Linked DNA regions of Nothobranchius furzeri. The protein of the gene in region 1 purifies or fractionates together with the protein of each later gene. This does not show direct contact. Links are inferred from orthologs where the notes say so. Each region holds a gene or a part of one and is shown on either strand. Other genes may lie near its edges.

Evidence for each region.
Region 2: the proteins of transducin-like enhancer protein 1 (region 1) and her6 purify together in Homo sapiens (affinity purification with western blotting; 4 studies listed by BioGRID and IntAct, with this or other methods). This does not show direct contact. The link is inferred for Nothobranchius furzeri from reciprocal best matches to the Homo sapiens genes TLE1 and HES1.

What each region holds. Positions count from the first base shown.
Region 1 is NC_091757.1:48,842,936-48,846,757, reverse strand, and holds part of transducin-like enhancer protein 1, read left to right. Parts: intron 1-1,790; coding exon 1,791-1,853; intron 1,854-1,952; coding exon 1,953-2,057; intron 2,058-3,822. UniProt on the Homo sapiens protein: Transcriptional corepressor that binds to a number of transcription factors. Inhibits NF-kappa-B-regulated gene expression. Inhibits the transcriptional activation mediated by FOXA2, and by CTNNB1 and TCF family members in Wnt signaling.
Region 2 is NC_091748.1:61,412,963-61,416,567, forward strand, and holds her6 (hairy-related 6), read left to right. Parts: upstream 1-1,633; 5' UTR 1,634-1,792; coding exon 1,793-1,900; intron 1,901-2,024; coding exon 2,025-2,120; intron 2,121-2,207; coding exon 2,208-2,295; intron 2,296-2,405; coding exon 2,406-2,947; 3' UTR 2,948-3,046; downstream 3,047-3,605. UniProt on the Homo sapiens protein: Transcriptional repressor of genes that require a bHLH protein for their transcription. May act as a negative regulator of myogenesis by inhibiting the functions of MYOD1 and ASH1.

The DNA.
Region 1 (3,822 bases):
ATGTAGCACTTTTAGGACACTATTTCATGCACTCTCACATTCACACACTGCCAGTGATGGTAAGCTTCTACGTAGCCACAGCCGCCGAGGCGGTCTGACAGAAGCGAGGCTGCCATTTGGTGTCGTTGACCCCTCTGACCACCACCAACATGGGCAAGTTGGGTGAAGTGTCTTGCCCAAGGACACAACAGCAAAATACCCCTGGTGGGAGCTGGAATCTAACCCATGGCCCTCCGATCATGAGGCACACCGCTCTACCTCCTGAGCTACTGCTGCCGCCTCTTTGTGACTCTTTGACGGTTCAGCAACTTTCTTTAGCTTTTTTTTATTGTTTGGAATTGAATTTGATATTAAACTTCCATCTCTAGTGCTCATAACTTTCTTAATTTTTGTAGTTTGTTCTACATGTCGAGGGTAAATGTCAGCATGTTACATTAGTACAACAAAGTCTTTAATATTCTAGAGTGGTAAAGTGATTAAGCTAAACTGACTTCTTGTCCAGAACATCACAAGTAACTTGACTGACATCGGGAATCCATTCTGGGTTTCTGAATACTGGATGGTTGGTGGATGTGTTTTTTTCTGGACTTTTAGGATAAGTTTGTTGAATAGTTTTGTTTGAAAGTGTTTACTTTTGGCATATCAAACATTCATGTCTGTGAGCTGATAAAATAATATGTAGAAGTTAAATCATGTAAAAAAAAACGCACAATCATGAGGACCCATCTAGTTCTTATTTCAGTTAACTGGTTAAACAACATTTCAAAATGATTTCAGTCCTAAAGTTTTAAATGTAATTTCCAACCATTTCAATATTTTCTTTGTTGATTAATGTTGCTTGTTTTGATTTGAGGCCATTAGGGTCTGGATCGATTCGGTCAGAATGATCCTCCTGGCCCCCGGGTCATGTTTCTATGATTGTACCAAACTAAATCAGTCCGCTGGAACACTGTATCCTTAAAAAACGTTTTGCTTTGAGAAACTTTTCAATGCTGTTGTGTTGCTTCATGTAAAATACTTTTACAGAATTAATACATTCACAAGGTGGTTCTCATTCAGCATGTTTTTGTGTTTCTATTTATGCTGAAGGGTTGGTTTATGTTGAGCCTTTCCTTCGTTTGATGGCTCCTCCGATTCTCTCCTCATGCGGGACTTTGCATCTTTTTTGATTGGATGATGTGTAACTCAAGATTCTTTATCTGATTTGATGCCACCAAGGGGGTATCTGGTTTCAGCCAATTGTAGCCACCTCGGGGGGGTTAGGGGGGCAGGCGGATGTGTTGGCATGGATACGAGGGGAGAGCAAATGAAGTTAGTCGTTGATTAGATTATATTGAAGTGCTGATGGGAAGGAGGACAAGAACACACAGGACAGAGGCAGAGTTAGAGAAAATCGAAAAGAAAAAAGACGAGAGCTTGTTGAAAATGAGAGCGAAATCATATTTTACCGAGTGCTAGAAATGACCTCACATTGAATCCGTGTGCAAAAGAGAGTGGAAGAGTTTTGTTGTTGTGTCATCATCTGATATTTTGTGTGTGTGTGTGTGTGTGTGTGTGTGTGTGTGTGTGTGTGTGTGTGTGTGTGTGTGTGTGTGTGTGTGTGTGTGTGTGTGTGTGTGTGTGTGTGTGTGTGTGTGTGTGTGTGTGTGTGTGTGTGTGTGTGTGTGTGTGTGTGTGTGGCTTGTATTACTTTATTGGTGTAACTGAACAGCTGTCATTTGTAAATGGATGCAATTATGTTATTAGCAACTGAGTCTCTTTTTATCTCTCTGTGTCTCTTTTGTCATCAGACTGAGATTGCCAAGAGACTAAACACCATCTGTGCACAAGTCATTCCCTTCCTCTCACAGGAGGTAAGTGTGTGTGTGTGTGTGTGTGTGAGACACACACTGTTTTCTGTCCTGACAAATCTGTGTCTCATGCATGGTTCTGTATGTCTGCCTGCTTTCCAGCATCAGCAGCAGGTGGTTCAAGCTGTGGAGCGAGCCAAACAGGTGACCATGGCAGAGCTTAATGCTGTCATCGGGGTACGTGGACTGCCAGGTCTTCCACCTACGGTGCATATTTTTATCTCATTGTTTTAAATGCTTACACTAATTCTCAATTCTCAGTGTTTGTTTCAGTGCCTCGTGCTTTTCCCTCCTTTGATCTGGTGTGGAATTGGAAGCTGTTATTGTGGTTTTGATGGCTTTTGTTGCTAGATTTGAAAGTTCCCAGTTTGCTAATAGGATTCCAACAATGGTCTAATAGAAAGAATACAATTATATTGTATTTTTTTCAGAAACCTTTAAATGGAGTTTAGCTAATTTCAATATTGGCAGTTGAAAATGGCAAGATCCGTCACTAAAATAGACACAAATAATAAGACTGGAGTAAAAACCTTAAAAATAGAATATTAACACATATGAAAAAAATCCCTGCATAAAAATTGCAGTTAAATAAAATATAAAGTAGCTGCTACAACAAACGAAGGCTGGGTTGATATGTGGCGTTGTCTACAGGGTTTACAAATTTGCATAAGTACTCTGCACAAATACTTACTCTTTTTAACTCCGTATCTTAATGTTTACTCTTTAAGTCAGTCTTCCTCTGCTTGATCTCTTAAAATCTGTAGAAATTTCACTTAAGTTGTTTTGAGACTCTTACAATGCACAATCAAAAAACATTATGACCATTTTCTGTTCTTCAGTCTTGTATAAAGAAACAGGAGATGAAATGAAAGGACATATATCTGTTTATTTTTGTTTAACTGAAGTTTAATGATCTGCCCAGCTAATTGGCTTCAAGCTGTTTAATCATAGAACAGGTATCAAACTAGATACCTGCGCTACACAGCATCAGACTACGGTGGTGATATTTATTCACCACAAGAAAGAGCTTTTAGGAGTGGGAGCTGATCTTTTGGTGGTGATGACTCTTGAGGTGGGATTTGACAATAATATCGACCCTTACAAAAGGGTGTGTGTGTGTGGGTGTGTGTGTGTGGAGGGGTGTGAGTTTAGGTTTAAAAGAAATGTGGGAAAGATGGAGGGGGTATTTGTGGTTTTAGTGGGATCAGAGTGTAGTTGGCTTAGATGTGGGGTGGGCTTGTTAGTTGGTGTGGACTGATGGGGGTCTGTTTTTTTGTGTAATGGGGTGAGAGGTGGATTTGGCAGTTGCTTTTTGGTCTTAATTGCAGGATTTTTGTGTTTGTAATGGGGGGGTCACGTCGTTGCCCTCGCACCCCGCCATCTCCCCTCATCTCCCACGCCAGCCTGTCATTCACCCCGTTTGTGAGTTAAATGAGTGTAATGAAGCATGTTGCCCTGCCTCTACACACACACACACACACACACACACACACACACACACACACACACACACACACACACACACACACACACCATCCAATGACAAAACTGGGCTCCTCTTGTCTGCACCAATGCTTCCCCTCCATTTACTCCCGTCGGGGGTGCTTTTTGTGTAACTTTGTGTACGTAATTGTGCGTTAGTGTGAAGCAGAGCGTGCATTTCTGTTATCCTCAGAAAACAACATGCAGGCAGCAGTAGGTTAGTTGACTGAGAGTGTTTTTGCCTGCCTTGTTTATCTCCACTCTGCACATACATGTTAGTGCACTCAAGTGTGATGTGTGGGTGTGTTTGTGTTTCATTTTTTGGCATGCATGCCAACTGTTAAAATCGTGCATCAGGCAGCTGTGGGGGCTAGAAGACTGTTTAGTTGTTATGCTCTCATTCACTGGGGTGGAGGTAGGGAGTGAAGGATGGATAGAGAGGAAAAAAGAAGGTGGAAGCTCAGGGGGTGGGGTGGGTTAGTCAATTAGG
Region 2 (3,605 bases), on another chromosome or scaffold:
CGCATTTTATCCATATTTGCCTTTAATTTCTAACTCTTGAGCTCTTAATGAATCATCACACAATCAAGTCACGAAGATGATGCATGTAGTTTAACTTTCTGTGTTTTTGGAGAAAACTTAAAACATTTTAAAACCTCCTCTTTGCTCCCTCGACTATCTGATGTGCAGACCTGCAGGGTTGTCCATCAAATTCACGATCCTGCGGCCAACCGCTGGCGACGCCCCGCAGATCCAGGCGGCAGGCCGGCGAGAGGAGCGCCTTCCCCTGGTCGCCTGCGCGCCACGTGTCCGCGGTCTCTGCACCAGCTGGAGTTGTGTGCGCAACGGAAAACCACGACGCGCTCCGATTTAAAAACATGAAGTCATTTACCTATTAAAGAAGCGCTTTTCCTCATTTGCATACACACACACATCATGCAAGCAAACTTTTAAGGAAGACAAACCCATTTCATTATAGTTGAAAAAAGTTTTTAAAGGTTTAATTATCACCTCGAATACACTATAAACCCCACATGATCCATAAATCTATGGAGGCTATCAGACAGCGGATTTTATAGGCATCCGTGTTTGTGAGTGTTGCACAACCTGAAGAGTGGAGCTGCTGCTCCAATAAACCCTCACGAGGCGATTGTTGACATTATTTCACTCTTTGTGTTCATCTGCTCTTACGTCCATCTAAGAACAATAAAGATAAGGAAAAGAAATTATGACCTGATATCTAAAGCCTTGAACGCTGTGAGGCAGCCACGGGCGGGAATGATGCGGGGGCAGGCTTCGGTGTGAGCTCTGCAGGCTCACAAATATCTCCGCTCTGGCTCACATTCCGATAAGGGAGCCCGATCCAGCTCCCTCAGTGGGCGTGGTTTTCCCAGGCTTTTAAAACAGCAGCTGCTATTTACCTTCCCCTCTAATGTAAACCACCGCCGCCGCCACCACACAGCCTCCCTCGCCCCCATACGCAGCCCGGTGGCCCCCCGGCAGCCCGGCGGCCAAACCTCCAACCATCGCGGGCTCATAAAACATCCTGGCACGTGCTCCACACTTACAACACCGACGGATGATTAAGTGGTAAATGTTGTACCACAGACTTTAAAGATGTAGTGTGGAAAGGAAGTGTGCACTTAAAAAGGGGTTTCTCCTGATTCATCCTCTCATGTCCCCCCGTGCTTTAAACGTCACAATTCTCGTGCCTTAAGTTAAAATAAAACAATTCCCGACACGTGTCCAAGAAGTTGTCAATTATACGTGGAGTAAAAATGAGATTTATTGATGGTGCGCATTGACTTTTCGCAGCTATTTGGTGTCTGGCAGATGGGAAGTCCCCGTGCCTGCTCCTGACAGCGGTGCCCAGTCAGCGGCTCCGCAGCTAATGTGTAAACGCTCCGATGATTGAAGGCTGCAGACAGTTTCCCCGGCTGCGCCCTGAACCCGCCAGCTCCAGCGGCCAAACAACCAATGGGAGGGCGCCGACCACGAGCCGTCCTCCCTCGGGCCGCGTGTCCCTCGCCCTGATTGGTTGAAAGTTACTGTGGGAAAGAAAGTTTGGGAAGTTTCACACGAGCCGCTCGCGTGCGGTGCCAGATATAAATACAAGGCACACGCGGAGAGCCCAACAGAGAGGCTGCATCCGCTCCCGGTAGCAGACGCCGCTGCGCATCGCTCCTTAACGGACCCACACGGTACACATCTCAGGATTCCTTTTGGGACTTTTGAAGATCTCATCATACTTTTTCACACACACGTGGATCATATTTTTGCTGTAGCACTGGGATATTTCTAATCAGCGACGAAGATGCCTGCCGACATGATGGAAAAGTCTTCATCCTCTCCGGTTGCTGCGACCCCGGCAAGCATGAACACTACTCCTGATAAACCCAAGACAGCATCTGAACATAGAAAGGTGCGTATTGGTGTAAAACCTGCCATCAGAGTCGGGATGATCGCAACATCCCTTAGATTATTTATTTTTGGTCGCGCTCTGAGCTTCGCGCCTGGTTCTAACAGTCTGTTGGTTTTACTTCCAGTCATCAAAGCCAATTATGGAAAAGAGAAGAAGAGCCAGAATAAACGAGAGCTTGGGTCAGCTGAAAACTCTGATTCTGGATGCTCTGAAAAAAGATGTAAGTTGTTAGCAGATCTCCGGGCTATCAGTGTCAGACTGAAAGTGAGCGCGTAATATTAACCAGGTGTGTTTTCCGTCCCCTCAGAGCTCCAGACACTCCAAACTGGAGAAGGCGGACATCCTGGAGATGACAGTTAAACATCTCCGGAACCTCCAGAGGGCTCAGATGACCGGTAAGTTTAATTTTACAACCTGATCTCGCATTGCGCGCTTTGAAATGAGCCAGAAAGCCTGGATGTTCTTTCAACACTGACTTATAAAATACCTTTCTGTCTCCCTGCAGCTGCGCTGAACACTGACCCCACCGTTTTGGGAAAATATCGCGCAGGATTCAGTGAATGCATGAACGAAGTCACGCGCTTTCTGTCCACCTGCGAAGGTGTGAACACTGAGGTCAGGACGCGCCTCCTCGGCCACTTGGCCAGTTGCATGACCCAGATCAACGCCATGAACTTTCCCAGCCAGCATCAGCACCAGCATCAGCTCCCATCCAACGCGGGGCCAACACACCCCTCCTTCGGTCAGTCCATGGTGCAGATCCCCAGCTCATCCCCGCAGGTCATGCCCATGAACCCGGGGTCCTGTAAAGGGGGCTCCTCGCCGGCCAGTTTACCTCCAGATGCCACCAAAGTGTACGGCGGCTTTCAGATCGTACCTGCCACTGACGGACAATTCGCTTTCCTAATCCCCAACGCGGCTTTTGCATCAAACGGCCCAATCATCCCGGTTTACGCAAACAACGTCAGCACGCCGGTGCCTGTTCCGGCTGCGGTGTCCCCCGGAGCTCCCTCAGGCAACTCGGACTCGGTGTGGCGGCCGTGGTGAAAGGACCACAATAAAGACTCTGACACTATTAGTTTGATGAACTCTAGAAAAGTTGTTTTTTTCCTGTAAAAATAAAGAGTATGCACTATATGTGTACAGCTAAGACGGAGTAAAGTTCATATTGAAATGGGATTTGTTTTGTTTAAGTCCGCTCACTGCATTTTATATATAAATAGGCTATATTTGAGGTTTTGTTTTCTTTTTTTACTGTGTGGCGCCAAAGAAATGTTTAATGCCCTTACGCTGTTCTTCGTTTTGGAAGACAAAATAAATTTGTTTAAAAAAAACTTGTAAAACAAATTTGTGCTGCTTGTTGGAGTTGGTCTCAGTGCGTCAAATTCATCATCACATTTCCGAATATCTTCATTAAACAAGTAAATGTTTTTGTGCTTAAAGTAAAGGAAACAACAGCTGCTTTACTATAACAACAATGATCTAAATTAGAAGTAATCGTGTGAGGATTATTTGGTTAATTGAGAAGGTTTTAAAATCCACACAGAAGCGCAATGATGCAATAGTCTAAACTGAAATGAAAAACTATTAATGAGCTTCCACAGAAACATTTTTATCTCAGAGTGTTAAACGTTTTCAGAAGTTTTAAGTTTATAAACAAGTGAAAGACGTCCGTGTGGCGTGAGATGATCAGTTTTTTTTGCAC